Oryzias latipes: one gene and its partners. The protein of the gene in region 3 purifies or fractionates together with the protein of the main gene of each other region. This does not show direct contact. Links are inferred from orthologs where the notes say so. Each region holds a gene or a part of one and is shown on either strand. Other genes may lie near its edges.

The links. The genes of interacting proteins can lie anywhere in the genome.
Region 1: the proteins of cdk8 (region 3) and med25 purify together in Homo sapiens (affinity purification with mass spectrometry; 8 studies listed by BioGRID and IntAct, counting the BioPlex papers as one, with this or other methods). This does not show direct contact. The link is inferred for Oryzias latipes from reciprocal best matches to the Homo sapiens genes CDK8 and MED25.
Region 2: the proteins of cdk8 (region 3) and med23 purify together in Homo sapiens (affinity purification with mass spectrometry; 10 studies listed by BioGRID and IntAct, counting the BioPlex papers as one, with this or other methods). This does not show direct contact. The link is inferred for Oryzias latipes from reciprocal best matches to the Homo sapiens genes CDK8 and MED23.

What each region holds. Positions count from the first base shown.
Region 1 is NC_019866.2:3,604,653-3,610,654, forward strand, and holds the start of med25 (mediator of RNA polymerase II transcription subunit 25), read right to left. Parts: upstream 3,694-6,002; 5' UTR 3,548-3,693; intron 2,995-3,547; 5' UTR 2,986-2,994; coding exon 2,861-2,985; intron 2,778-2,860; coding exon 2,732-2,777; intron 2,638-2,731; coding exon 2,513-2,637; intron 2,420-2,512; coding exon 2,321-2,419; intron 1,289-2,320; coding exon 1,168-1,288; intron 1-1,167. UniProt on the Homo sapiens protein: Component of the Mediator complex, a coactivator involved in the regulated transcription of nearly all RNA polymerase II-dependent genes.
Region 2 is NC_019882.2:15,918,132-15,924,139, forward strand, and holds the start of med23 (mediator of RNA polymerase II transcription subunit 23), read right to left. Parts: upstream 3,694-6,008; 5' UTR 3,570-3,693; coding exon 3,510-3,569; intron 3,116-3,509; coding exon 3,084-3,115; intron 2,853-3,083; coding exon 2,765-2,852; intron 2,675-2,764; coding exon 2,550-2,674; intron 2,264-2,549; coding exon 2,152-2,263; intron 2,048-2,151; coding exon 1,949-2,047; intron 1,843-1,948; coding exon 1,741-1,842; intron 1,639-1,740; coding exon 1,569-1,638; intron 258-1,568; coding exon 145-257; intron 67-144; coding exon 1-66. Other genes in the region: interleukin-20 receptor subunit alpha, read left to right, coding at 4,439-4,487, 5,778-5,901. UniProt on the Homo sapiens protein: Required for transcriptional activation subsequent to the assembly of the pre-initiation complex. Component of the Mediator complex, a coactivator involved in the regulated transcription of nearly all RNA polymerase II-dependent genes.
Region 3 is NC_019878.2:17,541,222-17,547,148, forward strand, and holds the start of cdk8 (cyclin-dependent kinase 8), read right to left. Parts: upstream 3,821-5,927; 5' UTR 3,427-3,820; coding exon 3,299-3,426; intron 2,199-3,298; coding exon 2,123-2,198; intron 914-2,122; coding exon 803-913; intron 282-802; coding exon 141-281; intron 1-140. Other genes in the region: E3 ubiquitin-protein ligase RNF6, read left to right, coding at 5,834-5,927.

The DNA of each region.
Region 1 (6,002 bases), on a different chromosome or scaffold from region 3:
GGTTCATCTACTTAAATGATGAATACATTTTTTTTCTAGTCCAAAGAAATCGCTCCGTCTGAGGAAAGTTGCTAACGGAATCAACCGACAGCATTTTAAGACAGTTTCAAAATGAAATAAACCGATTTTATCGATAATGGAAAACGCCATTTGGGTTGAGGCGCAGTAGGTTGATGTGCATCACTGCAGACAACACACATGTGACGACGATCATTCCAGTCCAATGTGTGGAAACACTTTGAAATTACTAAAGTCATGTGACCAAACAGTGTCTAGAATGTTCTAATCTTGTTCCCTTTGGATTCTTTGGATGTGGAAAAACAACAGTCGGCTGAACTTTAGGAAACTCAAATGTGAATGGATTTGCCAATAATTCTTGTTTACTTGTTTGTTTGTACTCATATTTAATTGACACTTGATTATCTTGAATATTGACTAAATTGTTTCAGCAAATCCGCAAACTGAGAGGGCAGCTTGGGTTGTTTCTTTAGTTATTTGCTACTTTCACAACCGTTTTCTTTGCTGTCCACTTTTCTTCCCATTGGTTAATCAGCTTCATGAACTCGTACAAAATAAATTTATTTTACTTTGATTCTTTTTAGTTAAAAACAAAAACAAAAAAAAAACACACACAAAACAACGGAATGAACTGCGTCGCATTTATAAGACAGACCCTGTCAACCCATCGGCTCCTCAGAAAGCTTCAGTAGGAAAGTCGCCTCAACAATATTAGAAAGTTTTGCTTTCACAGCCTCATGGATGTGAAAGTCAGTGTAAAAATATTGTAATAGAATGACAGCAATTGAAATTGCATTGAGATTTTCTTCTTTTTGGTTTGTAGTTGTAAAATATTCTTAAAAGAATGCTGTTCAGACAGACTAAACAATTGGTTTGAATGAGAAGATATTAATTCCTATTCAAAAAAATCTATTTCAAATATAATATATTGTGACAATAATTGGAAAAACTGAAGATTTGAAAACAATTCTGGGGAGGGAAATCTTAGGACATCATCGCTTAGACTAGTTAGTTGGACGGTCAATTTGATGGACGGATTAATTCATTGAAAATTCCCCCTTAAATCTGAAATATTCCCATAATAAAAAAGGAGAAATGCCACAACTCATAGAACTGAACAAAATTAAAAACCACAGTAGAAAAACTCACATCTCTGATGATTTTGGCCAGGCTTTCCGCTGTGCATCCGGTGTAGCTGACGCTCTCCACAGCAGGAAGCAGATACGGAGGAGAATTACACAGAAGCACGCAGACCTTATGTGTTTGACCTCTGCAGTGACACACGCAGACAGAAACAAGAACAATGACTGTTAAAAATCCTTCACAGTATGTTTAGAATACTGTAAAAGTCAACATCAGACATTGGAAGTCTACGTTCTCCCCATTTACCGTGAAAAAAACTTGTTTAGACAAAACTTAAAAAGTAGTCAGTGATGTCTTAAGCAGGGATCTGCAACACGAGGCTCCAGAGCCAAACTGCTCCATTCTGGCTCTTTGGTTGTGATAAATATCGTAGCATTGATTTAAATGTAGTTTCTTAGATTTTTGGCTAAAATGCTCCTATAACAATAAAAAATGAAAACGGCCTTATGTTTCTCCCAGAATGCACACATTTCAAACACTCAGCAAATTACATGTGTTCTTAAAAACATTGTAATCCTTTAAGTATGTTTATTATTGGGATATACTTAAAACAAATTATGTTACGCTGCAAAATAATGTTTAATAACTGCCCAGAGGGGGAAAGAGAAAGACATGTATATACTTTTATACATGGCTCTCAGACCATGATATTTATCTTCAGGTTATATTACTAAGCTTGGAAAAGGGCGATGACACACCAAAGTAGACTTATATAAAACAAAAGAAAAAGCCTTTGTTGATTTACATTGTATAACATTTTCTTTGAAGTATATTTACGGCAGCAGATGTGTCTTTATTTTTTTAAAAGTGTCCACTTTTCTCAGGAGGAAAAAACAAATTCATGTGAATTGAATAAAATGCTATCATTTATTTTTTCCCTATTGTTTTTATTTAAGTCAAAATAGCTTAATTAATATATATATATCAAAAAAAGAAAGCAACAAATACAAAGGAGTTTTGAATTTTTCTAGAGGGTGAAACAAGACTTCGGAGCTGCTGCTGTTTTTGTCAATGGGAAACTGGCCTGAATGGCTTTTTTAGTGTTAAAGGTTGCAGACCCTGGTTTAAACAAAAGTTAGGGAGCTAAAATGTACTTTAACTTTTATTTTAATAAACACAGAACAATGTTTTAAACATCTTAGACGAAATGATACCTTACATTTGCTCCCTCATTTTTTTAAAGTCGTCAAAGAGCTGCAAGGCCACAGAAAGGCCTTCTGCAATCAGGCTGCAGCTTTCTGCTCCACCACCCATGAACCTGCAGGAAAACACCCATCACATCTTTCAAGAAATTCATGGGAGTTTTAGACAAGATCCCTATCTGCTTTTTTAATAAATGTAGCCAAGTTACTGGATGCTGTCGATCCATGAAACAAACTCGTAGGCAGAGCTGGTTGGTGCGTGACACTGAACGTAGGATTCAGGAGCACAGTCCACTGTGTTGAACACCACCAGACCATACTGTGTTCCACCATACTAGGAAGAAAAACAGATGTCACTTATTATTACAAAACGGGACTAAAATAGTTTAAAAAACTGAAATACTAACAAAAACAGAAATTACACTCACGTCTCCACCAAAATCTGTTTCTGCTGGGGGCCCTCCATTAAAATATCTAGAAAAAAAGAAATAAGATATTTACTGTTTTAATGTATGAGCAGCTCACTCTGTAAAGTCTGCACATCTTCTGCTTCTTACTCAATAGCTGGAAGGATGTAGTTTTTTCTCAGTGATTCAAAGTACGGTCCCAGGTTTGCCGTCCCTTCGATGACAAAAACCACATCGGCCACCTGGTTGGAGCCAGGTTTACTGGGCGGCTCCATGTCCACAACCTGGACGTGTGGGAGACACGGGAAAAGGGGAAATAAGGGTGGTATCATGGAGCAAAACACACAAAATACTTTATTTTCCTCTACAGGCGGTACTTGGTGAAATATTAATATATAAACATGTGTGATGATTATTTCAATGAAATTCAAGCTTTGAAATGTCACAATTAATGGATTCTCTAACCATCAGACAGAGTGAGCATCTAAAATGTTTCTCTTCATCACATCTTCATTATGTGTTAACTTGAAATAAAACGTCATGATTTGGCATATTGTAAACAATTTAAAAACGGAGAGCAGGAACAAACAAACAAAGCCGTGTGTGTGTACCGTTTGTTTAAAATGTCTCTCTAGCTTAAAACATGACAACGAATAATCTAACAATTCAACTATGATTATTATTAATTACGCGTTTATGTAACTGAGGCAGTTTATGAAAAGGAAACCACCGGCTGTAAACATTAGCCGGCTTAGCAAGCATGGAAAAAAGACTAAATAAATAATACGACTGGAAAAGCCTTTACTGTAATTCAAGAAGAAATGAGACACAACTAACCTGATAGTGAACACCTATTATTCCTTAAATATGAGATTTACTAAACCGAAATATAGGCAGTTGTTTACAAAAAAAAATTAAACCATAGCACAAAACCGCATATACGTTTGTTTTATTTTACAAGGAAGTGACGCAATGAAAATTCAATGGAGACGCTTCCTCTTCGTTGAATATAATGTGCAGATAGGATGTCTCTGAGCGCACTGCTGCCCCCTAGCGTTGAGTCATTCCTAGTGAAACAGCACTGTGGTAATAAATAAATAAAATATAAATAAATTAATAATAATAATAGTAATAATAATAAAATGAAAATCCCATGTAAAAGAGACCAAATTGCGCTTTATTTTCAATCATTTGGTAACAACGAGGTGTTGCTGAAATAACTGGTAAAAACAATAAAGTTCTTTTTTGGCGTAATAATAAGAGAAGCTATTTGTTAATAGATTTTAAAGTTATTATTCCAGATTTTTATTTTAGGTAATGTGTAAGTCAAACCAGTAAAGTCCTCTATGTTCATTTTCACCATATATCAGTGATAAATGAGATTTTTGAAGTCATAACCATTTTAATGTCTTTTCAACAGCAGGTAACTATGAAGTTCACTATAATGCGAATAAAACCTTTAGATTCAGATTAGCCAGCTACATACATTTAAGCTTCAATTGGACCAATTAATGCTTAGAGTTTTCAGCTCTGAATTCAGTTCAAACCTTATAACCAAATGCATTTCAATAAAGTGGTTACCTTTTGGAATAGTCAGAAGAAATATGTGCTTCTGGATGAGCCTAAAACAATAAAAACATTGGAGGCAGAATGAGCAGAGGACCAACAGGAAGTTCCAAAATTAATTAATTTTGATGTTTTCCAATTAATTAACTGCATTGTGAAATAATAGGTACAATCTGTCTTCAGAATTATGAAAAACAAACAGTTGTTTTTCACATTTGTTGAGGATTTTATTTCAGATGTGAAACAGAGCCGGATGCAGAAAAAATCCAGATGTTGATGATCCACATCTCCAGGAGATGTCAGCAGATCTCCACAGTGCAAAGAGAGAAGACATCAGAATTACAGTGGAGAAGATGCAAGCGTGCATTTGATACTAGCTCTAATGATGTCTGCAAAAGAAAATTCAGATTTTTTGTTTGTTTTTGTTTTTGCATCTTGTTTAAATATGTAAATTTACAGGCCAAACTTGGTGTTCTGCTCCACACGCTTTTGAGCTTTTGTTATACAGATTTTTTCTTTTTTCAAAAGTGTAATTTGATTTTGGTTACTTAACAAAAAAAGGAGTTTATTTACACCAAGCTTGATTAATGTTGTTAAAAAGTGAGCTCAGGCAGACAAGAAACAGGCCTGTAGAAAAATGCCAGACATTTAAGGATAAAACTTATTCCTGCCCATGTGTTTTTGTACCGAGAAAGGTAAAATTTAATGACCTGTTTGTGGTAGAACTTGTGTCTTTAACACATTGATGTAGTTTGTGTGGTCGGTTTAATGGCTTCCGCTCCCTTGTGACAAAAGCCAGTAAGCTGAACGTTCAGCTTAGAGGCTTCAGAGCTCATCAAACTCAAAACCCTCCCACAGACACAATGATCCATATCAATTCAGCCCAAATTCTGAGAAGGAAAACAAGCTGTGCGCCCAAGCAGCTTCGCCTTTTGGGTGTCAAAAAGCAGGGCTGCTTATGGCGGCTTAAGTAAAGTTGATCTGGAGAGGGTTTAAGCCCGTGGCTATCCACGACCTGCAAACATTTAGCTCCCCACGGATCTTTTATCCTGACAGTGAAACATGGCCAAATTAAAGTGGCAGGAAGGATTGCATGCACAGGAAGCTCTTTACTTTGCAGCTCTGATGCTTTTCTTGGAGACATTTTGTGCTTATTGTTGTCTTAAACTTTAGCACACACATGGCAAGCAGTTGCCAAGCAATTACAGAGCGCCGGCTCTCTGGGTGTGCCTTTAGAAAGACACACACTGCTTCCTTTTTTCCCCGTTGTTGGTCAGAAATCAATAATCTGAATGCAGAAATGTGGTTCTTTAAAACTCCACGTCTGCAGGCGGCTTTGATAAGACAATCTGTCTCCTGACCATTTTACCTGACCTACTGGGACTCTGGGCCAGATGGTCTTCTCACAACAGGTAATCACAGGCTGCTTGCTGATGCACTTTGATCCGCACAAATGGGTAAGCACAACAAAGCACACCTTTTGGGAACCGTAAGCCCCACTGCCATCAGCAGCAGCTGTTTTTCTAATTTATACGACATTTTTTCCCCGTTATTTATATGAAATTCCTAAAATCCCTGCCCAAGTCTTTCTTTGTGTGTAAAACACCCTTCAGAATAAAAGCACAACAACAATATAACAAAAGTATGAGTTCACAACCGTTTTCTTTGCTGTCTACTTTGCTGTCTTTATATAGAATACCAAGTAATTACTAAGTAATTTCATTAT
Region 2 (6,008 bases), on a different chromosome or scaffold from region 3:
CATTTCCCTGGAGTACGGCTGTTCAAGCACATAGCGGAGCAAGACAGTCTGCGGCTCGAACAGGTCCTGCACCCAACGACCAAAGCAGCCATTACCGTTTGTTCCTGTGTGGGCGTGAAGCTGTGCAGATGCGGGGTGGGTTACCTTGTCATAGGGCAGCATGCCCCTGAGGGGGAAACGCAGGGTGGCGGGGTCTAACTTCCAGGAGTTACAGATGGCCCCGCTGTTATTCACAACTGGCAGCAAACTGCATCGTCCTTAAGGGGGGGGGGGGACGACGACACCAAATACAAGTCACTTAGCTTCAATTACGCTTTCAAACATTTAGTTTTACGATTCTGGGACTGATTTCAAATTCCATTAACATTAAACTTCCAATATTTACAAGGATATGTGGAAAAAGTTGAATAATTAAGAAAACAACAATTTATAAAAGAAATTTACACTAAAAAACATTTTAAAATGCCAATATAGTGTTATTTTTATTTTTTTATTAAATAAAAGTTTTCTTTTCTTGGAAAACCCTGCAGGAAACTGATTAAAAAATATATATATTTTAGTGTGAATCTGATGTTTGTCATTTAACCTTCCTAGGGACAGCAGATTACGAACATATATCATTAAAATCTGTACTATATGATGTTTCTTCCATGATTTTAACTGTTTTGTATAAATCCCAGATCTATTTCGATCTATTTCTTACTTGGATAAGCATTAAAACACACGTTCAGGGACAAGAAAAAAAAATGAATCCCCATGGATCCCCATTTATTTGGATCTGCCACGCACACAGCATGGAGAGCGATAATCAGCTTCACGCTCACAAATCAAGCAATGGTGAACTTTACTGTAGGGTCAGTAAATACCTATAGCTGGCTTATATGTTTATTCTAAAACTTGACTTTTTAAACTTCCTCCAGTTTATCTAAACACCAGCAAGCTGTTAAACAAGCACAAAGAAGAGGCGGAGTCGGAGGACTTCCTTTTTTTAAATTATTGCATTACACACAAAATTTACAGACATTATGTGGGTTTTTGGTTACCGGTAATTATTAAATTAGAATTAAAAATTAAACGTAAGAATTTCTTGTTAAAAGAAGGGCTTGGTATCGCAACCAAACTACTGATTTGATTTCAAATTACAAGTTCACAAAATGATTTGCATGACAAACTTTGCTTTTAAAACCACTTAAGTTTGATTATGAAAAATTTGTTCTTAGAAAAATTATCTTTCAAATTGAGCAAAAGTGGAAGTTTTATTATTAGAACTAAGATTGGTCATGTTTTTATTAACAAAAAGCAGTTTTTTTTATGCCTGAAAAAAATATCATTTAATACCGTACAAGAGAAATCTAGCATCACATTGAAAGTAAAAAATGTTTTCAATTTCAAAATAAAGTTCATGCAAGAAGGGGTTAAAGTAAAATTAATTTATTGATTTGTTAAACTGATCCTTGCTGTTTTAATCCAGCCGTAGTTGAAAGAAATCTAGCATAGTTAAATGCTTTAGAAAGACAAAAAATTGTAAAATCCTTAAGTGTGTGTGTTTGGGTGTGTGTGAGTTTTACCACAGATTGAGTTGATTCTTGCTGTAGGTCTGAAACTATCCACAAAGTCTGATATTAAACTGCCCAAAATCTAAAAATCAAACACAGAAAACCCCAAAAATCAAAGACATGTTTCAAAGAATTGAAGATGTTAGGGATGTACATTTACACACTCGTGTAATTATTCACATACCCAATGTGAGAGCTGGCCTTCTGGGTACAGTTTTCTTATTTCTGTTACAGCAAAGTATGCTGGGAGGAGGCAGGCGTTTCTGTCCAAAATGTACTCCACCACCTGAAAAATGGGCAGAAACGACTATCTGAGAATTACGGTTTGTGTCAAGACAAATAAAAAACTGGATCTGAATTACAGAATTCAAGAAAACGGGAATGATCTGTACCTCCCTGGCGGCCAGCAGCTGCTGGAGTATAGCTGAGCTGACAGTAATGGGGACGGTCTGAATTTTATCCAGAACACCTTTCAACAGATCGCGTACACCCTAAGGAAAATATAGAGCAGATTTTAAAAACAAAACTAAATTCTTTTAAAGTCCATTAATGTCTTTCAAGCTTAAAGGAGATTTATTTTTAGTGCGTCAAACACCTTGTAGTCCACCCCTCCGATTATTTTGCGGATGAGCTTGAAGGTTAAAGCCCATAACTGTGTTCTTTCCCACTCCAAGCTGTCTGAGCTAATGAGAGCTACACACACCATCCTGAAAGCAAATGAATTCATCAAAGGAATGAGTCACACAATTTCAAGCCTCACAATGAATAAGCAAACAAGCTAATACTGTCATTTTCAAAAAGTGGTCAAAGCAGAAATGCACTTTGAATTAGAATCTGCAGAAATGAATAAAAAATAATGTGTTTAATAGTGAAAATATAAGGAAGAGGAAACACTCAGCTTCAAAAAACTTTATATGGAGCTTTTATCTTTTCATAAATTGCATAAATGAATGTAAAGAATGTGGGCAGACTATGATAAATGAGTGTATGCACCTGGGAGGCAACAGACTAGTCTCCACAGCCATTGCAAGACAATCATACAAGAAGGAGATCCTTTTGGGACTGCGCTGAGTGTGTATGAAGCGCACAATCCACTGAACACACTGCTCGTGAGAATCCTGAAGAGGAAAAAAAAGAATAAATATACAGAATATGATGTATCTTTGTGTATAAATGTTTAAGATATTAAAAAAAATAAGTTTAAAAACCTGTGGCAGAGTTCCCCAGTACTGTCTGAAGGCTCCCAGACAACTGATGAGTTTAGTTCTTTCATCCTCTGGAGTGTCCATGAACATCCTGAAACCCGAAAATGCCAGCTTCACTTTTTTAGTTTAGGAATAAGAACCATTTGTTGTCAATCCAACACAATGTTTAGGGGTGAAATATGTTTTAGGAGCAGAAAATAAATTAAACAAACTACAGATTTCTATTCTTTTTTTTTAAAATCAGAACTAAAAGTCAAAGCATTTTGACCTTTTTTCAACATGTTTATTACTCATTATGAATAAAAGTTAGTAACAAGCTTACCCAGCAAAAGCTTCTTCTATTGTCTCAGTTTTCTGAAAGATTGAGAAGAAGAAAATATGATTTATGATGTTAAAAGAGATCAAAATTCAAAATACAAACAACCAAAAATAAAATTTTCCTATTGACAGCAGTCAAAGGAAGAAAATAGCCTTTGCTTCAAAAATACCTAAACAAAGACTCATTCATTTTGAGGATAAGTGCCTTGTTAACAAAAGCATCACCACTGACAACAGATTATAATCCAAACCTGATACATTTGTTTGTTAACAAGTGTTATTCACGTGTAATTTAATTTGTGTATTTTAATGCAGGTTATCTACAAAAAAAAGATAGTTCGCAAAAATACTAACAACAATAAAAACAAGCATCATCAATGCTAACAGATCCTCTGTCGTGGATCCATTTTTGTTATAAGGTGCAATTTACCACGACATCTTCAAAGATGCTCTGCAACTGAGACTCCATCGAAAGCGCCATATCGATCATTCAGAGTGAAATCTGACCAAAAGTCACTACGCTTTGTTGCAAACAGAGCTCCAAACAAACGGCATGCTAATGTCTTTGGAGAACGAAGCGCCACTTCGTGTGCAACTGAAAAGTGATCCGGGTGAACACTTGAAACACACACTAAATAGTTCCGCTACGCTCTAACTTTATGTCCACCTACTAAAAGTCATGTTAATTCAGCGCCATAAACAGTCGCGGCGGGCAACACCGAGAACTTTGGTCTCTTGTTAAAAAAGAAAAAAAAAACTTATGCTGAAGATCAGATAAACTATCTGTTTCAAGAAACGGGGATTCTTTATTTTCAAATACACGCACTGCTTGTAGCCCACAAACTATTAAGGGCACTGATCAAAACATTACTCTACTGTTTTAACTCTCAACCACTTAATAAACTTTCTTGTTTATTCGAAATCAGTGACAACAGTTAGTTTGCAAATTATCCCAGTAATGTGACATAATTTAGATGAAAAGTCAATGGGTGTTTCAAAATCATTGGCTGTGGTAAACTAAAATAAAAAAATGACGAGGTCGTGACCATCCCACATTAATTGCACCTGCTCAGGTGTCGTGCGCGCGGACAGGTACAGCCACATTCCTTTCTCAAACACGGAATTAACGCGTCGTTGAAAGGGGATTTTTTTTGCAGAGCGCTCCCATTCATTGAGCGCATTCTTACCTCTACTTCCTTTTTTCCACTTTTAGTTTAACAGATTTTTTATTTTACTTTCTTTTTAGTTGAGAGGCAACCCGATTTCTTCAATGCGCGTGAAAAGTCACTGGTCCACGGCAGGTGGAGGGACTGCGCAGCTTGATTCTCCTTAAAAATAAACTAACCCCCGCGCGCAAGGATGTGGACAGCCTTCGTGCTAATGAACCTCTTGGGTCTTACCTGCACAGGTAAGAATTTGTTGACATGTTATTGTGTGTTAAAAGAAATCCTCGCGCGCTGGATGAGAAAATTGGTCAAATGTGTCCAAAAGGAGAAATCCGATCTAATTTTCCCAAGGCTTTCTGTCATTTCATATTGACTATCTCCTTTTTCTCAATAAAAAATAAAAAAGCAAAATGATCAATTAACAGACTTTTTTTTAAACATATAGGTTACTTTTAACAGCTATTAAAGAATTATTTAAATCTTTGATTTTTTTTTAAAGACAACAAGTTTATAAACGTGTGTGATCTGGTTGTAAATGTAATAATTTTAAACCTTATTTAACAGTTCAAGATAACAAAAATAATCAACTTTATAAAAAACATAGATGGTTTTTTTCCATAATGTTTACCTTTCTAGATGAGTTTGCTGTTAATTGATCAATAACAAATCAAAAACGTCTATCATTATTAACTAAATGTAAAGCTAAAAATGCAGTGTATGAGCTGTTTTTACACAGTTCTGTGGCATTTATGACTTCTGTGAAATAGATACTGCTAAGGTCCTAAAACTCAATTACATGCCCTTTTGTTCTCTGAGGCTTTATGTAAGTATCATATAACAGGGATTGATCTATAAAGGTTTCTTCTGAAACTTTGTTGAAACAACAAAGATGTCTTCTGTAGGTGTTAATGGCATAAACTCTTAGTTATACCCTTTAAATTTCTGTCTTTATTTAAACGAGCTGCAGCATAGTTCTCTTTATTTGATTTTTTTCCAGATCATTTAAGGCATAATCCACCTCTGCATGTGCATTCATCAACTGTTTACTTCCTTTTATGTCAAGAATGACTTCTCATAGCTGACAAACTTTTGTTTATTTGCTTTAAACCCGCCAAATGTATAACTGCCGTGTTTTGTGCAACAAAACATGAAAATAAACACCAGTGAATTACTGAAGCTATGCCGAAATAATAAAAAGCCTTTTGGTTAGTATAAGAGGAAATGTAAAAATCTCAGTTTGAAAAGACACACTCCGTGAAAATGGTCTTTTTTTGTGTTTTCAACATGTTCTTGTGTCATTTTTTCTCGTGATGGTGGACAATAGAGAAGAAAGAAAATATAAATTGTTAGAAATAAACTTCAATCTTCAAGGCACAAGCGTCTTGTTCTGCTGCATTCAGATGCATCCACTTGTGAACAAATAGCTCCACTCACTTCTTTGCACGCTTTTACAATATATAAAAGACTGGAAAAGGACTTCAAATGCCAACTCAAACTCATGAAGCCATGTTCATTCTTGTTCTCTTCCCCAGTTGGATCCTTCCCTCCAAGCCCCATCAATGTCAGCTTCTCCTCTGTGAATCTAAGAAATGTGCTGCACTGGTTACCAGGACATGACACGCCAAATGACACCCATTTTACAGTCCAATATGCCATGTAAGTGAAGACCAAGTGGTGTTATTTGGCAAAAAAAAGGGGTCTGATCTCTATTGAGTCGTTTACTCCTCGTTGCTTGATTTTTTTTTTTTTTTTCTGGTCTGTTT
Region 3 (5,927 bases):
AGCATTTTAAAGGATAAGTGGTAATTTGCACTAAACCCACGCTGTTTTTACATTTAATCCATTTTTTTTTCTTTACTTTGGTTTTTTTCTTTCTATTTTAGCTAAAAAACCTTCACCCTCCTAAACCCCAATCCTCTTACAAGGTCTCTGTGTAGGACCCAGTTGGCATGGAGGTAATGGATGCCATCCAGAATCTGGTAGAGCAGAGACTTCACCATTCCTCTGGGAAGCTGAAGCGGCTTCTTGTTGGCCTTGGATGCTCTGTGAAACTTTATAATGTGCTACGGGAAGACAAGAAAACAGCAGCTGTACCATGAATGAGCACATTTACCAAAATGGACTCTTTTCTACAGATCCACACACTGACATGTGTGTTCTACAGGCAATATGGTTTAAGCATGTGTTTCCACTTCTGTGGAGGGGGAATGCAAGTGTTGCAGCTCTGCGGCAGTAAAAGGTATTTCACTTACATTCTCTGCCAGTCGTAACTGCTTACTTAAATGGAAAAGGGTTTAACTACCAAAAAGCAAAGTAATTCTTCTCATGACACCAACAGACTGGAGTGTTGTTGTTTTTTTCTTTCTGAAGTGTGAAGCATCAAAGGGGCGCATTCCCGCGTGTAGAGAAAAATCTTCAAAGTACTGACGTGCAGTGTAATTTATGTAACATATCGTTGAGCATAGGTGGGGATTTGTTACTTGTGAAAAAAGTTAAAGTAGAAAAACATCGTATTGGCTCTCCCCTCGCACAGCAGTAGTGTGATTGATGAGTAGTGCAGTTCCAGTGTGTGTTTCCATTTTACCCAGAGATCATGCTCCGCATAGTCAAAGAGCAGCCATACTTTACGGTCCGCGTGTGACAGGAAAACCTTCTGCAGGGAGATGACATTGGGGTGCTTCAGCTCCCGCAGCAGCTGCAACATAAAACCCTTCAGCTCCATGGCATAAATCAGGAACGACAAAAACACACAGACCAGAAACATTTCCGAAAATAAAACGAAAATCAGGTATTACCTGCACGATCTACCAAAAGCAGATAAACCTTACAATTAATGAATGCCTATAAAGTGTTTGAGTTAGCCTGTAAGTTCAAAACATTTTGAACGCGCCACAAACATACATAAAATATTCCAAACACCTTCCAGCTTTTGTTTACCTGACGACCAAGAAATATTCTGATAGATTTGACAGATGGGAGCCTGTTTATGGAGTAAAGTCAGAGTCAGCATGGCTGTGATAAACTGCAGGCAGGAGCTGTGCGTTTGTTAATCCCAGCACTCTCTGGTTGCAATTTTAGACAATAAAACTACCAGGCAGAAAGTATTGCATGTTTGAGGTGATCTTCAGCAATTACTATGGCCTCAGAAAAAAAATGTAGTTGCCAAACATTCCCTGAGCTTGGTGCTTCTAGAACAGTTCTTTCGGTACTTGAACAAGCCTCTGACCTGCAAAGACGATAAATAAATAATCTGGCAACAACCAAAGTGAGAGAATGCCAACCCAGACTTTCGATTTTTGAACACAAATATGATTTTCAGTGCTGGTAAGCAGCGAGTAAATGATCTTTAAGGGGTTTTGTTCAACTTAAATTAATAATTTCCTTTTTCATGTCTGACTATTCCACCAGTATCCAGCATGTACAGGAAGAATGATGGGTAACTAGCTGCTAAATGTAATGTTAAAAGTCACAAATGGCTTTTTGAGATGGGGTGGAGCGAGCTAAACAAGCATTTTATGCAAAGCCTGCTTCATTTTCTTTGTCCTTGTTGAAAACAGCTAATCTTTATTTAAATCACAAGAAAAAAAAACATTTTGGTGTTCTATCCCTTTAAGTTTAGACGTAAAAGGATTCAAGGGACAGAAAGCTGCTAATATGGTCAGATGTCACACTAAGGACATATTGTAGTGCATTTTGAAACATTTTAATCCAATAAACACAAATGTCCTTTCAATGAAATATCTTAATTTGTCTTATTTAAAGTTTAGGATGATTATGAACTTATTTTACAAATGAATAAATGCAATAAACCAATTTTGGTTTCATTTAATGAGTGGTTAAAACAAAAATATTCTAAATGAAAAGAATGGCATAAATGTATTAACCAGTGGGAAAAAGCCCTTACTGCAATCTCTCTGCAGGCTGACATGGAGATGCCAGTGCCTTCTATCTGCTTGAGGGCGTAGTCTTTATCATCCTTCCTAAAAACAGAAAAATCCAGCACATCAACACCAGGCCAGACAGCAGGCCCCCAGAAAGCTCTATGCACAGAAAACAAAAATAAAGGACGGGAGGGGGGCACTTGGCAGCTGGTGTGGGGAGCTGGTGAAGAGGCTGAGCTGCATTACCTCCAGATTTGTGTAATCAAGCTCACCTCTGAGGCTCTAAACAATAAAGGGGGAGAGGAAACAGGCGGTTTCTGGCAGCTGGGAGGGACAAACAGAGCTCTGGGACTGGCTCACTCTTGAATATCGTTCCTCCTCTTGGCCTAAATTATCTTATAAATCCACACTTTGTAGTTGGAAAGATTCTGCAGCCCACGGTGTCTCATAAACAACAGTAACACAAACATCTCAAAGCTTCTTTCTATGGTTCTGCTGTCCAGATTTTCTCCTTTAGGGTAATGCGCCTTGTGTGGGCCAGGAAGTTGCTGCTTTAACCCAGGTTAGGGCCAGATAAAGCTAGGGACCACATCGGAAAGTTGCACTTTAAAAGCTCAAGTGTTGCTTTAACATTAACAACATAAATAACAAATCCCAGTGTCACTACTAGAAAAAATATGTCCCCTAAAAAATAATTATTATTGAAGCTTAATTTCCTGTCTAAATATTAGTTTAAAAAACTGATCTCAGACACATCTATACTGCCAATAAACCTTTATTTCCACTGGAAAATCATAATCAAATTCATAATTAAATGTGTGTGGATTATGATAAACAAGACCTGAGAACCACAATAAGTACAATATCAATTTAATTAGATCTAACCTTAACTAATACAATTTAATGATGCTCACACAGAACCAACCACAAAGCTGCATGCAATGGTTGCAAATATATTCCTGCTAAATTAGCCTCCCATCCATGAGAGAAAATGTCACTCCTCATTTAAGCTAGTAGTGCTGCTACACAAAGCTTCCTCAGCATCCTAGTGTGGGCTTTTTAACACTCTGCTATTGCTGTTTTTGTCTGCAGCACGCTTCCTCCACCGCGAAAGGGGGCAAACTAAAGTGGTTTAAATGGAGCGGGAGGGGGCTGGCGCAGGGTTCAGCGGCTGGAGGCCTTGTTGGTCATCAACTCACCCATCTTTTCTCTTCGCCTTGTACACATGACCGTAGGTGCCTCTTCCCACTTTGCATCCTTCGTACTCAAACAGGTCCTCGACGCGCTCTCGTTCACCGGTCAGCTTCAGTTTAAAGTCATAGTCCATTTTTCACCACTTCAGAGGCTGAATGTCTGCGTTTCTTCCTTTCTTTTTAAAGCGTCGCTAGGGAGGCAACTAGGCTCCTTGACTCAACGAGCTCGGTTTTTGGTTATTTCAGCTAGTTGCCTTCCCAGCGGGTCCCTTTCTTTCTTCAGCTCAGCTTCCACATCGAGGTTTGGGCTCGAAAATAACCTTCCGATGGGTAAGCGCGGAGATTGGCAATTATCCGTGCTGAAAAAGGCCCGATTTTACAATTTCCTTTCTGTTGTTTCTGCGTTTCTCTCAGCCGGTATCTTCTCCAAAGAGACGCAATTCAGTCTGTAGCCACGGCGTAATCGTGCCAGCCATTGTCGCAAAGTGTCGTAAAGACAGCCCCTGCAGCAGAGAAAGGAGAATGGCAGAGATACACAACCACGTGGATATTCGCACTTAAATAAATAAATAAATAAATCAGTACGTGGGTGAACAACAAACAAATAAAGCCGAGGAAGGTTTTTCAGATATTCTTTCTTTTATTATGCAGTCACTTGCCAGTGTTTAGTTTTTACAGTTCAACAAATAGTAATCTTTAAAAGTAATTATTGATAAATCCTAAAAACAAACATAAAAGAAAACAAGTATTTAAATACATAAAACCTCTATAAGAGAAAAAACGTGAAATGGTACATAAATAAGGCTATTTACATACACACCGAAATGCCATGAGAAGTCACAATTTTCTATTTAAACAAACAAGCAAAAAAAAGAATACAATACCTAGAATTATCCTCGTTAATCTAATGTCTCCCTGTATGCATACACATTTTTTGATTGACTGGAGTACAATTTCTAACAGTAGCAACAACAAAAAAAAATATATTTGAAAGTTGTCTGTCTTTTAATATATTTTTATATATAATATATAATTATATAATATATATATATAATATTTTTACTATATTATAATGTATGTTTTGTAATGCATACGCCATCCCCGTTTTTTTCAACATAATTGTTCTATTTAATCTCAATTTTTGTTGTATTTTGCATATTAATTCTAAAAATAAAAATAAAAAGACAGCATTTAGTTTGCTGCTGACGAAGGATGTCAGTTGGTGCATACAGTAGACTAAAAGAAAAAAAAACATGTTTAATCTTTTAATCAATGTTAGAAGCAAATTTACCAGTCAATAATATCACAAGGAACTTAAAAAAAGATTACAAACAAACAAAGAAATAAACAAAAAGCTGTGTTTGTAGGAACTAAGGGTTAAGGAATTTTGTTTCCGGCGAGCAGAGTCATGTAGCACCGCTGGTCCCATCTTGGTCGGAGAGAAAGGGGAAAGCGGAGAGAACCTTCCATTACAGCTGCTTTGTCAGGTACTTCTCTAAAGCAAATGTTACTGACACTACTTCCTAATGTGGTTTCCATTTATCTATAAAGATAGATCATATGTGCAATATCCGGCGAACTTGTTGTAACAGCATATGTGGTGCGTTATGAGGTTTTGCCTCTCAGCTAAACGGCTGTCGACTTCAGTGCTGCTACTACTAGCTGACGTTATATCACTAGCATGCTAGTTAGCAGTTGACGCGTTGCTTGTTTAAATCAACATTGTAGCGTCTTGAAGTAAATATAGAACAAACAGCCTCGTTAAAGTGTTGTCGTACGTGTATTCCCAGTATAATATCTTAATCGTTTTATTGTTTAGTGCTGTTCACGACTTTGTGTTTCCTTCCTTGTCCTGCGTTTACATGGAGTAGATCTCCGTTTAATAGGTTTCATTTTCCGCCTCTGTCGCACGGTGATTGGTTACTTGACCTGCCACTAAAACCAAACAGGGGCGGTGATTGGTTAAGAGTCAGCTGAACAACATGATTTGGACATGGCCTTTTGGGGATACTATTCATGGTTATTATTTATGTATACTCGCTCACAGGCATTTGATCAGTGATTTATGCAAATTATAGCTGGGCCTTTACAGCAGAACATATATGACTATACCTTTTTTCCACAAATGTTAATACTACTGTGCTGTCCATATTGCTTAGTCCTATACACAAATGATTTTGCTATTAGTGTTGAACCTTGAATACTCTTGTAAATTAAGTAGAAATTATAACAAGTATTAGAGAGGCAAGTTTATTTTATGCACAAAAAAGACCTTTTAGAAAAGCATTGACAAGAATCACAGTTAGGATAGTATGGCCACAAAACAGTAAAATTATAAAGTATAATTAAAATTTGTTTAGACAAGAATAAAACAGAAGAATATAGACTGATGGTCACGAACTAATGTTGTCTGATTGGAAGCATGTCTAACTTCATTAGAATAAATGTTCCACATTTTTGTGAACTGAAGTGAAATGTTGCTTCACCGTGTCCATTTCTCTGACACCCTTCCACATGGGCCTTCCAGCACTCTTCTTTGTTATGGACCCTCCCAGTGGGGGAGATGAACGGCAGAGGCAGGCAGAGCGTCTTCGACGGGAGGAAGCATATTATCACTTCATAAATGAATTGAGTG